3 linked regions of the Arabidopsis thaliana genome follow. The protein of the gene in region 2 interacts with the protein of the main gene of each other region in a pairwise test. Each region holds a gene or a part of one and is shown on either strand. Other genes may lie near its edges.

Region 1 (5,852 bases), on a different chromosome or scaffold from region 2:
AGCTAAAGATGCATGGCATTCATCTCGTTTACGAGGGGGATGATGATTTGGAAGGCAGAGAAAATACATTACCCGAGGCTCAACAAACCGTTTCTCAGAAACTTGCCAATTTTTTCAGCTCGTTTGAAGAAGGTGAAGCCAGCGCAAAAGGTGATTCCACTGTTGCATGATCTGCTACCACAGAGAAGTTAAGAAACTGCACAAAAACATTCTTTCCATACAAGCTGTTTGTTGATCATATAGCGTGTGTGCTTCTGTAAGTTTTTTCTTTCTAGGATGTTTAGTTGTTTTTTTACAGTTTATACCGTTGCTTCTATAATCAATAAAAACCCAAAAAGAGGAGACTCTTGTTTCCCACAATTCTGTGCAATTTTGTAGAATGTTCACAAAATTTGTGAAGACTTGGTTAACAAATCCAAAGACTTCTATGATCAAGGTATTTTATCTGCTAAAGACCTAAAGTGTGTTTGTTCTATTTCTCATTCTCCAACAAGTTTTCATATATTTACTGTTTCCATTGTAGCAGATGAAGCTTTACATAAAACCGAGAGTCCAAGTGTCCTGCTCGATACAATAAGTGTATGCTGAATTGACATTTAAGTCACTCGATACAAAAAATGACTTTCACAACTTGTAACAGTAGTAACAAAGAAGAAAGTAACAAATTGTGAAAGGAAATGTTGACAAGACGATAGCAAGCATTATTGAGAAGTGGGGTCGAAGTTCATGTGTCTATGGCCAAGCGAGACGCAGACATCTCTACATCTGCCTCCAACATATCGGTTTCTTTTAACTCTATTGTCTTTATTATAAGACCAAACCCCACATCTCATCCAAAAGATATCACAACACACCAAATTACGCATTGACCTTTTTGACTATCAAAGACATTACTTCAAAAGATAAAATCAACAGACAAATAAACATTCTTCAAATGATTCAACTCCAAGGCATAGAGCCGTTACGAACCTAAGAAATTAAACCAAATGCCAAACTATAGGAGAGCTTGAAATAAGACTGAAATCTTCTCATTTCATCAGAAGAGGTTACATTCCAAAGAGTACATTAATGACCCAAACGAATGTACAGAATTATACGGTAGGAGATACAAGACAAACACGAGCACTGACACGGTTAAAAACTAACAACACTGAGGGAAGGAACAAAGAATGAGATATAAAGTAAAAAAAAAAAAGCTTCTGATACAAAAGTAGATTTCTCATACCTTCTTAGCGCTTAAGCTGCCAAAAAAGACTACTTTCTGGTAAAGATACTCAAGCTTCTTGTTTGTTGAAGACCAGAGGAAATTCATCGTAATGCTCCGAAACACCGTGTTTATCTGCCATGTTCTTCAAAGATTCATACACCTGAATCATCGTTGGCCTTTCCTTAGGCCTGGACACAACACAGCTACATGCGATTTTCAGGAACTGCAATATCTCCTCATCGTGTCCTTTATCACATATGCTTCTATCAATAGCGTCTTTGCTTCTACCAGTACCCAAATACTGACTCACCCAGTCAACTAAACTCCCTTTAAACCCTTCCACACCGTTAATAACAGACAAAGGCTTTTGCCCTGTAACCAATTCAAGAAGCACAATCCCAAACCCATACACATCTCCTTTCAAAGACGCAACCATGGTGCTCGAATACTCAGGCGCTACATAACCTAACTCCCCCAAATCCCCATTATTGAACGAGCTATCGTTCGAATCACGAGATCCAACTAGCTTTGCCAATCCGTAATCTGTTATCCGAGCATCAAAATCATCATCAAGAAGTATAACATTGGAGCTAATAAACTGATGCAAATACGGCGGTTGGCATCCATGATGCAACCAAGCTAACCCTTTAGCAGCTCCCACACCAATCGCACGCCGAGTCGGCCAATCCAAAACAGCATCACACAATCCACCATTGTGCAACTGAGAAAACAACGTACCATTAACCATATGCTTATACACCAACAGTCTCTCATCTTCCACAACACAATACCCTAAAAGCGGCACCAAATTCGGATGTCTAAGCTCTCCTAACTTATTCATCTCCGACCTAAACTGTTTCTCACCAAACCCACAAGCACTAAGCCTCTTCACCGCAAGTGCAGACCCATCAGGTAAATCCGCTTTATACGAAACCCCAGTCCTCGACGAAACATCGATATTCCCTGAACTAAAATTGTTCGTAGCAGCCATTAAATCACCCAATTTAATCTTCACAATAGGTTTCTGAAACAAAGTCACCTGAACAAGCTTATGTGACCTCAACAAACCAATCCAATCACTATCATCCTTAGACTTCCCAGCACCATAACCTTTCTTCTTCCTACTACCTTCTCTAATAAAGAACCACCAGAATATAACTAAACCAACGCACAAAGATCCAACAGCTCCAAGAACTCCAGCAACTATAATAATACTCAGATTTCTCCCATTCAACGCTCCACATCGCGATAAAGGCTTCCCACAAAGTCCGTTATTCCCGCTAAAATCGTCTCCTCCGAACCGAGCCAGCTCGGACGGAATCGTACCGGAGAGATCATTCCCTGCTAGAGAAAGACGTCGAAGGCGATCTAATCGACTCAACTGAGAAGGAATCGAACCAGAAAGCTTATTATCACTCAGAATCAAAGCGTTTAAGAACTTACACTCAACGATCTGAGTCGGAATCGAACCACCAAGCTTATTCCCAGACAGATCTAACGTAACGAGATAAGGAAGCCACGAACAGATTTGAGAAGGAATCGAACCAGAGAGATCGTTTCCAGAGAGATCCAGAGATTGTAAACTACGACAAAGCTTAAGAGACTCAGGAATCTCACCGGCGAGCTGCATCGATTGAAGCTGAAGAGAAATAATCCGATTCTCTTTCTCGTTCCAGCAGGAAACACCAGTGAGCTTACAAATCGAAGAAGCTGAAGAGTTTGGGAAAGACCAGGAACTGAGTCTAGAAGAAGGATCGATGAGTGAGTTTTTCAAACCTTGGAGACAGAGAACGTCGTCTTCAGCTGAAGAAGAAGAACAGAGAAACGAGCTTATGAAGAGAAGCCATAAGAGTGTGATGAAGATCTTCTTCATGATTAAGGATGGATCTAGTTCTTCTTCTTAGGTTAAAAAGCAGAGAGAGCTTCTATGGCGGAAGAAGAATGGTCATTGACTGTGTGATACTGTTGAGAAAAGATGAGAAACTTTTTTTTTTTGTTGCTCTTTTGACTCTTTTTTTTTTTTAGTAACTTAGTGGAAATTAGTATTTATCTTTTGTTTGGGGAAAAAGAATCTTCTTACAAAACGACACCGTTGGAAAAGCAAGTCTGAGAGAAGCAGAGGATATATACAAGTCAGTCTAGTCTACTACTACATGTTACAATTGAAAGGGAAAGCTAATTTTTCAAAAAGGATAACACTTTTGGGTGAAGATTTTTTTTTCATTTCTTGTATTGATAGGTTTGCCTAAAATCAGACATGGAATTTTAGAACCATGATTCTTTAACTCTAACGTATCAATTTAATCAAAATTAAATTCTTCCTCTATTGATATTGATATAATGTGACTTAAATGGGATTCTTTTTGTATGAAAGGTTGGTTGGCTGGTAATAAACTAATAATAATAAGTCACAAGAGTTTTGAACTTGTTATAAAGAAAAAGACAAAAATATTTTATTTTTTTAAAACAGAAGACATTATTACTAGAACTGAGGAAACAAAAAAAGACATTACTTGAACAAAAATGTGTTTTGGCCCATGGGCTTTCACAGCATTAACTTACATTTCAGCTCATGGGTTTCATGACTTTAGGCCCATAATCTTCATTGCCTCGAGACCAACCGTTTGTAATATTTAAACATTTCATCTGAGATTCTAACTCGAAACCTAAGTACTACTACTACAAATTTCGTTCTTGAAATCTTTCACTTCCATTCATATAAGAACAAGAAAGAAAAACAAAAAAAAAGGGATTTAGCAGTGTTACCGAAATTTACATGTGGTAAACTCTAAGAAACAAAAGATATTATAAGCCAACTTTATCCCCCACCAATCAACAAAACCAAAAAAAAAATGTAAGTAACAAAAGAAAGAAATATTGATGTAGATTTTGTATGTATCCTTGTCAAATGTAAATAAAATGTACACCTGCTGCTGAATCAGAAACCAACTAAAAGTCATTCTTGTTGTTGCCTCTGCCACGGCAGATAACCAGTCACTTGATCAGCAAAATTCGACATAACCAAATCCTTCAATCCAGTGTCCCACACTTCACAGAACCGTCGTTTCCAATCCGGCGGCTCGATTGCCTCTGTCCCGAGCCCTGGAGCTCGATCTTTAGACCCTTGATTCTGATTCTCTTGCCAGTCAACAACATAAGTAGCCACTCTTCTGTAAAACTTAGCTTTGAAAGTGTCCCAAACTTGGTACTTGTAATGGTTCACTACCGCAACACTCTCCACCAAACTCATATGCCCCACTCCTTCTTTCAACTGAAAATGATGTACTTCATTGAGCAATGAGCTTGTGAGCAACTCAGGGCGGATTATCGACTTGTGTCTCTCGGGGTTCGCTTGTCTACAAGTGTAACCTACGGTCACGCCTTGTGATGGAACCGAGGTCAGACCGGATGGACCGTAGCTATGACAGTCCGTTCTGATCTCTCCAACCAAATCCCAAGAAGTGTAGTTCGATACAAGCGACTTCAAAGCGTTTTTGCTCGGTAAGCCTTGAGAGCGATGCGTAGGGAAGTAGTAGAACTCGTCGACATCGAAGAATCCAACCCAATTGCATTCTTCTTTCGCTCTAACCGCACAATGCGAAAAACCGGCTTCTTGAGTCTTGATCCAAGGCCAAACATGTCGACTCACATTGTAATTCTCCGAACTAAGCAACTCAATCTCCTCTTGTATACCATCATCGCTGTTGTTATCATATATAAACCAACGTTCGACACCGAGCCACGAGTGATACATGATCCATTCACGCAAGAACGGAGCTTGGTTCCATAACATTGTACAAACACAAAGCTCATGCTTAACTCCACTCTTCTTCTCCTTCTTCTCAATCGAATCAGAACCGTAGATTCTCGCAACCGAAGGCAGAGCAGGGGTAGTTCTTCCTCTAGGATCAATGTGAATTACACTCACTCGAAACATCATCTCTGGATTTAGCTTCAAACTCTCAGGCAAACCACACCTCACAACTTCTTGCGCAGCAGCAATAGCTTGAGTCACCTCTTTCTCCTCCGAATTCTCAATCTCAAATTGACACTTATAGTAAGAAGGATCTGATTCCTTGTGAGGTCTTCGAGTCAATCCTTTAACAAACACAACCACCGTGTCGCCGTCAATCACCGCCTCATAACCAACCTTTTCCCAATTATGAACACGACGGCTCTGTTTCTTCATCTTCTTCTTCACCAAATCTCCACGGAATTGCAAATCAACAGATGAAGAATAGTTCAAAGGAGCATTAGGACATCGAACAATCGACCTAAACTCATCGAATTCATCACTAGAAATCGAGGGCAACACCAAAGTCTCTTCCTTTACTCCACGATAAACACAAACTAGGTTTTTTTCACCTTTCCCAATTCCGTGCGAAAGAATCAGCAATAAATGGTCAGGGAATTGAACTCTGTCTTCAACACTCAACGGAGGGAATCTACCACGGTGAAACGAATCCATGGATGATGATAAAACGGAGAGAGTAGGAACACGAAGAGACGGTCTCAGAGAATCGGAACGAACAGAGAGTGTGGAGATTCGGTCGGAAGATAAGAAGAAGAGCAAGACGAAGAAACAACAAAAGCATAAGATTAGATACCTTTGAGACAAGAACTGTACTTTTACTTGTTGTTTGTT
Region 2 (4,661 bases):
CAGGAGGCGCAGAGAGGGAGGATGCAGGAGATAGATCTTAGTGTTCACACTATAAAGTCCCATGGAGGAAGAGTCGCTTCTAAACACAAGCACGATTGGATCATACTCGTCATCTTGATTGCCATCGAGATAGGCTTGAACCTCATCTCTCCTTTCTACCGCTACGTGGGAAAAGACATGATGACTGACCTCAAGTACCCTTTCAAGGACAACACCGTACCTATCTGGTCTGTCCCTGTGTACGCTGTGCTTCTTCCCATCATAGTGTTCGTCTGCTTCTACCTGAAGAGGACATGTGTGTACGATCTGCACCACAGCATCCTCGGGCTGCTCTTCGCCGTCTTGATAACTGGTGTCATCACTGACTCCATCAAGGTAGCCACCGGACGCCCTCGTCCTAACTTCTACTGGCGCTGCTTCCCCGACGGCAAAGAGCTGTATGATGCGTTGGGAGGTGTGGTATGCCACGGCAAGGCAGCTGAGGTCAAGGAAGGCCACAAGAGCTTCCCGAGCGGACACACTTCCTGGTCCTTTGCGGGGCTTACATTCCTTTCCCTTTACCTCTCTGGCAAAATCAAGGCCTTCAACAATGAAGGACATGTGGCGAAACTCTGCCTCGTGATCTTCCCTCTGCTTGCCGCTTGTCTTGTGGGGATATCTCGTGTGGATGACTACTGGCACCACTGGCAAGATGTCTTCGCAGGAGCTCTCATTGGCACCCTTGTAGCCGCCTTCTGCTACCGTCAGTTCTACCCCAACCCTTACCACGAAGAAGGATGGGGTCCCTACGCCTATTTCAAGGCAGCTCAAGAACGAGGAGTCCCTGTGACCTCCTCCCAAAACGGAGATGCCTTGAGGGCTATGTCTCTGCAGATGGATTCAACATCTCTCGAAAACATGGAATCTGGCACTTCCACCGCTCCCAGATGATCCTCCTCTCTTATTATTTGATTCATTATTTGGTTTTTCATTTTGATTTGGCCGTCGTCGTGAGATTGTGAATGGTGTAGCTACATACTGTATGTGTATTCAAAACTCTACTTGTACCATTACATTTTTGTAAATCCACTCTTCATGAAATTGACGTTTTTCTGGTGTCCGAGAGGCTTGGGTCGCTCGAATAATCTCGTCCAATAGACTAATACGGCTCTAGTGAACACGGTATTTACATGTTTGTGATCTAAACTGAAATCAGTTATTTCTTAATTCGTAATCATTCTTGGGTTAACATTTTCTCTTATAATCTGATGGTTGAAGATGGCAAAGCCATTGTTAGCATAGCCATAGCTGGTTCAATCATCCACAACACTAAATTACTCGAGCTCTCCACATGCGTAATCTCTCTTTCTCTCTATTTCTCCCTTCGTTTCTCTCATTCTTCTTCTTCTTTTAATTTCTGGGTAGCTATTATTTTAGTGTAGAACAAAGTTTGACACTTGTGCTTACGCACATGCGCTGCCAACTATGCTGCAGGTATTAAATCAGTTCTGAAAATATTGAAGCACAACTGGAAACCGTTTCTTTTGTGCACTCAAGATATTAAAATGGTTCTCTGTTTCTGAAAATATTGGAACAGAACTGAAAACTGTGTTTTTGTCATGCTAGCGTATTGTTATATTGTGTTTTATTGAGCAAATGATGATACTAGCAATTCAAATTTCATCTCTTCTCTTTGTTATTATGAATTTCATGCTTGTATTGGAAGACATTATTTTGCAAAAATTTGATTTTTGTTTACTCAAGGACCCATTGTTTCTTAACCATTGGAGTAGAAATTTGTTAAAGACTCTTATTAGTTTCTTAACTTACAAAAAGCAAAATTTTAATAAAAAAAAAAAAGTTAAGGATCATGGTTAAGGACCTAACCAATGGGGATGGTCTTAGCTTCTGATCTCACTGGTCTTTGTTCGATTGAATCAATCCAAGTTTCGTAAGTGGTGATGGTAGGTAATCGGAGCAGCAGCGCATGTAACCATCGGCAGTTGTCGAAAGCTTGTATAGTCACATACCTCCCTCATCGTCTCTTCTCAGTGTCGCCAGGTAAATCTTCTCAATCGTTTCTTTTGTATATTACTCATAGAGTCGTGCGCTGTCTCTCCCTGAGAAGGTTCAATCGATTTCTTCCGATTGATGATTGATGTATCATAATCAGAACAAAGGTTATATTTCTGAATTGGATGTGTCTCTGAAATTATAGCGGATGTTGTATGTATGGGAACACAAGAGACCAATGATGATGCTAATGTTTGATTGTCATCATTGATTAAGTGAACTAATCAAGCAGAACCATGATTTGTTTTACTTTGTTGGTGCTAGTGGTTTGGGGCTATCTCTGTTTCTAATTCGTATATATGTTATGGAGGTTAAGAGGACTCTTCAAGCTTTATGGGCACTTGGGTTTCTTGGTTCTTTGGCTACTTGTGCAGCCCTTGCTAGACCAGCCGGTGATAACTTGGTTCATTATGTCGTTGATCATCCATCTGCTGTTTGGTTTGTTGGTCCCCTTTTTCAAAGAAGGTAAATATCTTGCTTCTGCATAAGGCTTCAGATAATGATTTATTGTTCTTAATCAATGAGCATATATGATTTATGTTTGTGGTCTACGAAATTAGTGTATTTTTAGATGTGTTATGTAATGTTGAACAACATCACTAGATTTGTTTTGTGTGTCTCATGTTAGAGGATTTTTGGCTTCGGTTTGTTTGTTTCTTTCTTCTGAAACACTTTTGTGTCAAGTCTTTAATCTTCTCTGTCTCTCTAATGTTATGAAGAAGGAGAGTTCAAAGATTGTGGTTATATAATGTTTTAGCATTACGAGTGGTTAACAAGAGTTAGTTAATGTGTTATAAATTCTGTTGCACGGATGAGAGTCTGATAAAATGGAATTCAAATCAGAGAAACCAGGTTCAGTTTTTCCTCTCAATATTGCATCAAATCTTTTTTAGTTTGTTTTGGATAGCAAATCTTTGATTGTTAGTCTCGAGACTAACATGATTTTGTGGATCGTGGTAACATAACCACAAAGTTGTCTATTTTATGATTTGAACATTCTACACAGTCATCCTCATCAGTGGCAAATTAACCAGGTTTGTGTATCAAAGAGTAGGCCATGTTCTGAGTATCTTCAAGAAGAGGATGATGTTTTTTTGTATAGTTTTTGTCTTTGATATGTTTTCAAATGAATCTTGTATACTTTGTCATATTTATTGTCATGAATCTTTGTTATTCAAAATGTGTTTATCAAAAATGTATCAAATTTTTTGTATAGTTTGTCTTCTCTATCTTTCTTTTCAAGCAATCTAAACTCAAATACCAAAATATTTTTTCAAATTTGTCTTTCTTAAGAATTCCTACTATTGGACATGAATATTTTTGAGAGTCCCTAAGCTAGTCCTTAGCTTTATATTTGTCAAAATTTATATTAGAAAATTCTTAAGGATTCCTTAAGGATCTTAACCATTGGGGTTGCTTATTAGTTTTTTTATATTACTTGAATTACATATTTATTTAGTTTAAAGAATAAATAATAATAAAAAGACAGTTTGGAGGGGTATGTAAAAAGTAATATAACAGAAAAATAAATATCTTGTCTGAATCAGAGAGAGAGCTCTCAACAACCAAAGCTTTGGACTCTCAGGCCAGGAAGACTATGGGATTGGGCGGCGATCAATCCTTTGTTCCCGTCATGGATTCCGGCCAAGTCCGCCTCAAGGAGCTCGGCTACAAGCAAGAGCTCAAGCGCGATCTCTCGTCTGTCTCCGCCACTCTTTCCTTTTTCTTCTTTGATTTGTGTTAGCTAAACAATTGTTAGATTTCAGGGTCTTCTCCAATTTCGCCATCTCCTTCTCCATCATATCGGTGCTCACTGGTATCACCACCACCTACAACACCGGCTTAAGATTCGGCGGCACTGTCACTCTGGTCTACGGATGGTTCCTGGCCGGCTCCTTCACAATGTGCGTTGGGTTATCTATGGCCGAGATCTGCTCCTCTTACCCTACCTCCGGTGGTCTCTACTACTGGAGTGCTATGCTCGCTGGCCCTCGTTGGGCTCCTCTTGCCTCTTGGATGACTGGCTGGTACTCCCTTCTCTCACCTTTTTCTTAATTTGGAATTGGAAGCAAGAGAGCGTCTCTCTCTGACTCATTTTCACAAATCTTTTTTCAGGTTCAACATCGTTGGTCAGGTGCAACATTCATTCAAGCAGACTTGTTTTCATTAGATATATCTCTCATTGGGGCTAAAAGTAAGGTTGTGGTGTGTTTGCAGTGGGCAGTGACGGCCAGCGTTGACTTCTCTCTGGCACAGTTGATTCAGGTGATCGTCCTTCTCTCCACCGGCGGTAGAAACGGCGGCGGTTATAAAGGATCAGACTTTGTTGTGATTGGTATCCATGGTGGGATCCTCTTCATCCACGCTCTTCTCAACAGCCTCCCCATCTCCGTCTTGTCTTTCATTGGACAGCTTGCTGCTCTTTGGAATCTCCTCGGTACCCAATCTCTCTTTTGTCTCTGTGTTTCATGTCATGTCTCAACAACAATCATCAATCAAGCATCTCTTATATTCAGGGGTTTTGGTGCTCATGATTCTGATTCCTTTGGTTTCTACGGAAAGAGCAACCACTAAGTTTGTCTTTACCAATTTCAACACTGATAATGGCC
Region 3 (5,615 bases), on a different chromosome or scaffold from region 2:
CATTCAAATCTCTTTTTTTTTTTTGCAGCACCCATGCAAAATCTCAGTAGAGCACACCTCGATTATAGCTTCTTCTTCTAGTTTGGCACAATTGCTTTTTTGTTTCTTCTGAAAATGTCTCTTTCAGAACCATTCAATTAATACAAGCATACCACGTTTTCTTCTATTTCGAGAATGCGTGAAGAAGTTAGCAATTTTAAATGGGCCAAATCAAAGAGTAATTAATTTTTGTATTCATATAAATAAGGGCAGAAGAAGAAGCAACTAACATGAGACACAAGGTCGCTTCTCTCTTGAGGAAATTTCCGGGAAAGTCACGGAGTCGGTTATGGGAGCCACACGAAAAGGATTTTCTTCAAATTACGAAAACGACGTCGCACGTAAGATCCAAAAAGACCCAATCCAACGCCCCATATGTAGAGAGCAATCACTAACGAACGTCCCAGTCTCACTTTCTACACCAACCTTTATACAAAAATCCATCTACTAAATTATCCCAAAGAAATATATTTAAACTCTTCTTTTCTTCTGTGGTGACATATTGTTTTCATTTGATACATATTCTCCCAAGTCAAATTTATATTTCAGAGAGGAAAAAGAAACAGACACAAATCCCTCCAAGATGATGCATGACAGTATGAAGTAGGTATGAGCAAAGGAGTTGAGATTTGAGAATATTTGAGATTACCTCTCTAATGGTAACTTCTACGGTGGAGGCCTCGAGTCCTGAAGATGGCGAACGACTTACTTTCACTAGAGACAGACACTACGCCATGCATGGTGAGATCTTGACGGTAGTTCTTGTCATCAGCTTCGCCGTCTTCCTCTTGTTCCTCGTGTTGCTTCCTTGTCTGAAACGCCGTTACAGTCACCAGTCCGACCTGTCAGAAGAGGCTTCCTGGAGCGGGACACTCAAGCCCTCACCTGTTGTAAGCAAACAATCCATTTCCACATAGCCATAGGCCAAATAACAAACAAACATGTATTGAATATCTGTTACAAAAGAGTATCTGTTACAAATTGTAGAAGCGTCACTGTTCGTCATCATATGTCTCACTAATGGATAGAACATTACAACATTGTACCCAACTGCAATTGCAGCTGAAAAATAAGATTTGTGGACAACAACAATATGAGATGTTTCACTAATACGTACATACAGAAGAAGATGGGAACAATGAATGCAGTTTTACCTCCATATCAGCAATCAAGCTCGACCCTTTATTTGATGATACATAACAACGAGAGGGTATTATTAGAAGAGTAAGAATCCGGCCAAGGCAGAGGTTAAGGAAATGGTGAGATTGTCGTCAATGTCGGTGCTTATTGGGAGTGATTCCACAAGAGCTGATGCTATAGAGATGACGAGGAAACGAAGAATCATTCCCCCGCTATCCTCGATGTAACCAAATGAAGCAAAGTAGTACATATACGCAACAGATGCTAGAAACCCGGCGGTGGCCATTCCAATGCTACCAGCAAATGATTTGTTTTTGTTGTAAGGAAGCTTCTCTGTTCCAAACCGCCGACCCACAATGTCAGCCATACCTTTTAACAGCAAGTGTGTGTATTAGAATCATCATTCAATGGATTCAAATTCCTAAGACAAAAGTTGCTAATGTTATTGGATCAAACCAGAGCTAACTGTACTTACCATCTCCTGCGCAAAGGTTGCATATCACCGCAATCGCGATTGGGGATGATTTCCAATAGTAGATGCAGGCTGATGTGATTGACAGTACATAGTAAAGCGGCCCCTTAAGTAGTTCCCTGATGCAGAGAGCGACTACAGACACTTTGTGAAGTGACAAAAGCAATAATAAACAGACAAACCGAATTTTGATCATAGATACCAAGAATGCTAAGAGATTGTTGGATATTGTGACAGACACTTGTTCGATTCAGCTACCTGCGATCTCCATGTCTGCTCATTGACTTGATTGTTCCTTCGTCGTGGTACACTCCAAGCCCCAGCAATAGCATCCTTACTATATTGAGTCCAGGTACAAGAGATGCGAAAAGTGCTCCTTGGATTCCAGAACTGAAACAATTGATATCGAAATAAACTGGTGAAGCAGAAAAGCAAGCTGGTACATCAAAATCGATCCTTTCACTCCGTATTATTACCTGAACAGCGGCCAGCAAAGCATAAAAACTAGCCCAATATTTATATGCACAAGCTTCCGGATGAGTTTCTGAAAAATAAGAAATAACACCAATGTCAACCACAGATGTTAAACCAATGCCTCATTCAATAAAACCATGAAAGTGGAGTCAGTCCTACATCAGACAGCCTGTGGATCTTATAAATTCAATGGGTTCTGAGATGATATCTTAATCACGATAAGGTCAGAGAAACAAAATCAAGTAGCTGAAGCCATACAGGTATTCCCAAACCAAAAATGTTTAATAGAATTTTTGCTAATCATAGATAATTCCTCTACTCCTAACCAAATTACTTGAAGAAAAACAAGTCACTGCGGAGAAACACATAAGAGAAAGGAAAAAAAAACAAGCCATGTCCAATATGTGTATAGACTGACTCATACGAAGAAATAATCCTTCAAAGTATAGCAAAGAAATTGTGCAACATTTAAACCTACAAAATTCATATATATCATAAATATGGTTGAATCTTCAAGTTACGATGAGATTGTGATTATACCGCACGAATTTCAAAAAAATTTCATCCCCAAATTGGGTTCTGAGCAATTTTCCCACTAATTTACCAGATATGGGGTTACTTTCCCATTGTTTATCGCAGTGTTCTTCCACCCCAAAATAGGTATCCATTCACATTCTATAATTTCTTGAACTAATAAGATTTATTATCCTCGCCATTAATGCCATCCATTACTCGATAAAGCTTACTACTACCATTACTCTGAATCCAAAGTTGCTTTAACCAGAAATTGCAGAATCGAGCAACATTCCAAAAACGTTATTCAACAAATCGACGCGTGTATAATTTAATTAAGTGAATTGAATGATCGAAAACCTGGTCGAAGATGCCACGTTTGCCAATCTCTCCCCAGAAACCGAGGCACGAGAACGCAACGATGCTAGTGACTCCAAACGCGCAGACATCTGATAAAACCGAATTTTCCGGAAACATCACGGCGGCGAGTGAAGACTTGCGGATTTTGGTGGCCGGAAACCTAGAGCTCGATCTAAAGCTAGTCGCGATTCGGACAGTGAGGAATCGTGGAATCGGAGAGAAGAAGGCGAGAGAAGGAGGAGAGTCAACGAGAGGAGATGAAATGAAAGAGCAGCAGAGAACGGAGAGCTTTGTAGTAGTACTAGTAGTTGCCATTTTCTGCAACACTAGAAAACACGACCTTTTCTTCGATTACGTTTTCATTTATTTTTTTTGACAGTAACTGGTTGGTAGTTGTTGTTGCTCAAGCACACAAAATTTGGTTTGTTTTATTGTTTACCAAAAAGATGGTGAAAAGTGGATATTTATTTCCCCAAAAGGAGTGTTTTACTTTATCTGGTCACATATGGATTAAAGCAATTTTAGTTTCGTTCTATTTGGATTCGGCTAGAATGGTTCATGACATGGTGGTGTTCGTTTGAGGAAACGCATAATTTGTTATTGTGGGCCTAGTTTGGGCTTTATATTCGCTAAATAATTTGGGCTGGTATAAGTCAACTAGACGGACCACAATTTGATTTCATCAAATAATTTTTCATGATTAATAAATCCCTAATTTAGTTACGAAACACAATTCAATTATTGTGCTACTCAGATTCGAGAAACATAAAAAAAAAAAAAAAAAAAGTGATTCAGATTCCCTCACATGGGTTGCCGAGACACATGACCACACGTCTCTTGCCTTGTTTAATCTTTTATCAATTTTGCATCAACTTGTATATACCATAAGAAAATTATTTTAATTGATTTCAATGTGAGATTTTCTTTAGTATTTTTTGCATCAAATAATGCCAACCTAATCCTCAATTATCCATCTTTATTTTTTTTCTGAAACAATCTTATATTATTTATCTGTTGGCAAAAGAAAAAAAATCCTCAATTATTTCGCAAATGGTATATATGTTTATCTTTAAAGAGTACACTTGCATGTGTTTTCCAGGTGTGCGGGCAAAAGAACATCAGAATTGGTTCTGGATATAGTTCTCTCCACTTTTTATTTGTTATTGTTTTAATACAGTACGTTTTATGAGAGTTTTTTATATATATAATAAATTATGCGTTTCCTGATAGTTGTTGGTCCAATATCGAGAACAAAAAAAACTAACTACAAGCTAAAAACCTAAAACTATGAAGATCTCAGAAAATATAAATATACACGCTCACGTTAGCGAGTAAAAAAGTAGACACCAGATTAACAAATGATTAGTGTGATCACAGTAAAGAAATGTTTTGCAAAATTTTAAGCAATTTTTTGAAATCATGTTGTATGTAATAAATTGAGTAAATTCATGCTGTACATAAATTAAAGACCATTTCTTTGTTAGTCATTGAAATCATAACCAATCAACCAATAAAACTGAATTTTTTTCGTTCATTAGAGAGATAAGTTAATATCTTCAAAGTTTAATGTTAAGCTCAATTGTTTAGATAGGAGATAACCGATAAGAAACCACATAACTAGTTAACCTACCTATCTTGGCATCACATGAATCAATGACGTTGGATAGTCAGAGAGGCTTATTTTAATTATACCCGAAACGAACCAACCATCTATAATTCTCTAAACTATATTTAATCATCATATAACTCTGTAATAAACCCAAATTTTCACAAATTAAAAGCCATACCAATATCTTCAAATATGGAAAAAAATAACAATTTAACAAAGAAACAAAATATTTCCTCACCAAAAAAACAGAAACAAAATATTGTTTTAAAAAAGGAAAGTGGTCTTTACACAAAAAGGAAAGAGAAAGGAAAGTGGTCTGGTTCGTATCGCACCCAATAAGAACCACCAACTGTTGAAGTTCGTAAACTGTTCCACAAAAAAATGCATAAAAGAAAGAAAAACAGATATGAGATTCGACCATTTTTTTTCCATATAAATGTTTTTTGGGTTTGCAAAAATCGACGCCATTACTCTTTTTTCTCCCCAAATTATTGACCTTTTTATAAAAATAATTTATATTCTCAATCACACTTCATCGTCTTCTTCTTCCTCTCTCTCTCTCTCTCCTTTTTGTCTCTGCACTGTGTGTTGTCACCGGAGACAGAGCTTGTGTTTTCAACTCTCTCTCTCTCTCTCTCTCTCTCTCTCTCTCTCTCTCTCTCTCTCTCTTGCTCTCTCCGTCTCCCTCACTCTCTCTTTACTTCAAAATCAAACCCTTTTCTCAGATTTCTGTGATATAGCAAAATGCGCAATCTCAAACTCTTTGAGAGATTTAAAAGCACTCAAGTCCACGCCTTTACTACACAAGACTCTCCCTCTACAAGCAGCAATGGTAGCCCTCGAATGATGAAGTTCCTTGGGCATCCCAAATCCAAATCTCGTTCACTTCTCCCTCATGGCTTTCCCACCACAGACCTCCTCGAGCCTCCCTTGGACTCTTACCTCAAACCTATCGATTTGGTGGAGTCATTATCAAATCTATATCGGAGAATCGAGTCCAGTTCGGAA

What was found. The genes of interacting proteins can lie anywhere in the genome.
Region 1: the proteins of AT2G01175 (region 2) and AT1G27190 interact in a protein complementation assay, tested with the Arabidopsis thaliana proteins (one large-scale study listed by BioGRID).
Region 3: the proteins of AT2G01175 (region 2) and FOLK interact in a protein complementation assay, tested with the Arabidopsis thaliana proteins (one large-scale study listed by BioGRID).

The regions. Positions count from the first base shown.
Region 1 is NC_003070.9:9,445,649-9,451,500, forward strand, and holds AT1G27190 (Leucine-rich repeat protein kinase family protein), read right to left. Parts: upstream 3,399-5,852; 5' UTR 3,081-3,398; coding exon 1,275-3,080; 3' UTR 949-1,274; downstream 1-948. Other genes in the region: AT1G27180 (disease resistance protein (TIR-NBS-LRR class)), read left to right, coding at 1-170; AT1G27200 (glycosyltransferase family protein (DUF23)), read right to left, coding at 4,164-5,852.
Region 2 is NC_003071.7:103,451-108,111, reverse strand, and holds AT2G01175 (uncharacterized protein), read left to right. Parts: upstream 1-1,820; 5' UTR 1,821-2,040; intron 2,041-2,316; 5' UTR 2,317-2,351; coding exon 2,352-2,540; 3' UTR 2,541-3,228; downstream 3,229-4,661. Other genes in the region: PAP1 (phosphatidic acid phosphatase 1), read left to right, coding at 1-930; BAT1 (bidirectional amino acid transporter 1), read left to right, coding at 3,650-3,750, 3,819-4,079, 4,168-4,186, 4,270-4,489, 4,569-4,661.
Region 3 is NC_003076.8:23,668,211-23,673,825, reverse strand, and holds FOLK (Phosphatidate cytidylyltransferase family protein), read right to left. Parts: upstream 3,560-5,615; 5' UTR 3,314-3,559; coding exon 2,999-3,313; intron 2,196-2,998; coding exon 2,128-2,195; intron 2,042-2,127; coding exon 1,910-2,041; intron 1,771-1,909; coding exon 1,655-1,770; intron 1,549-1,654; coding exon 1,256-1,548; 3' UTR 957-1,255; downstream 1-956. Other genes in the region: AT5G58570 (uncharacterized protein), read left to right, coding at 696-956; EOL2 (ETO1-like 2), read left to right, coding at 5,352-5,615. UniProt on the Arabidopsis thaliana protein: Kinase involved in negative regulation of abscisic acid (ABA) signaling. Substrate preference is farnesol > geraniol > geranylgeraniol, but has no activity with farnesyl phosphate. Can use CTP > ATP > GTP = UTP as phosphoryl donor.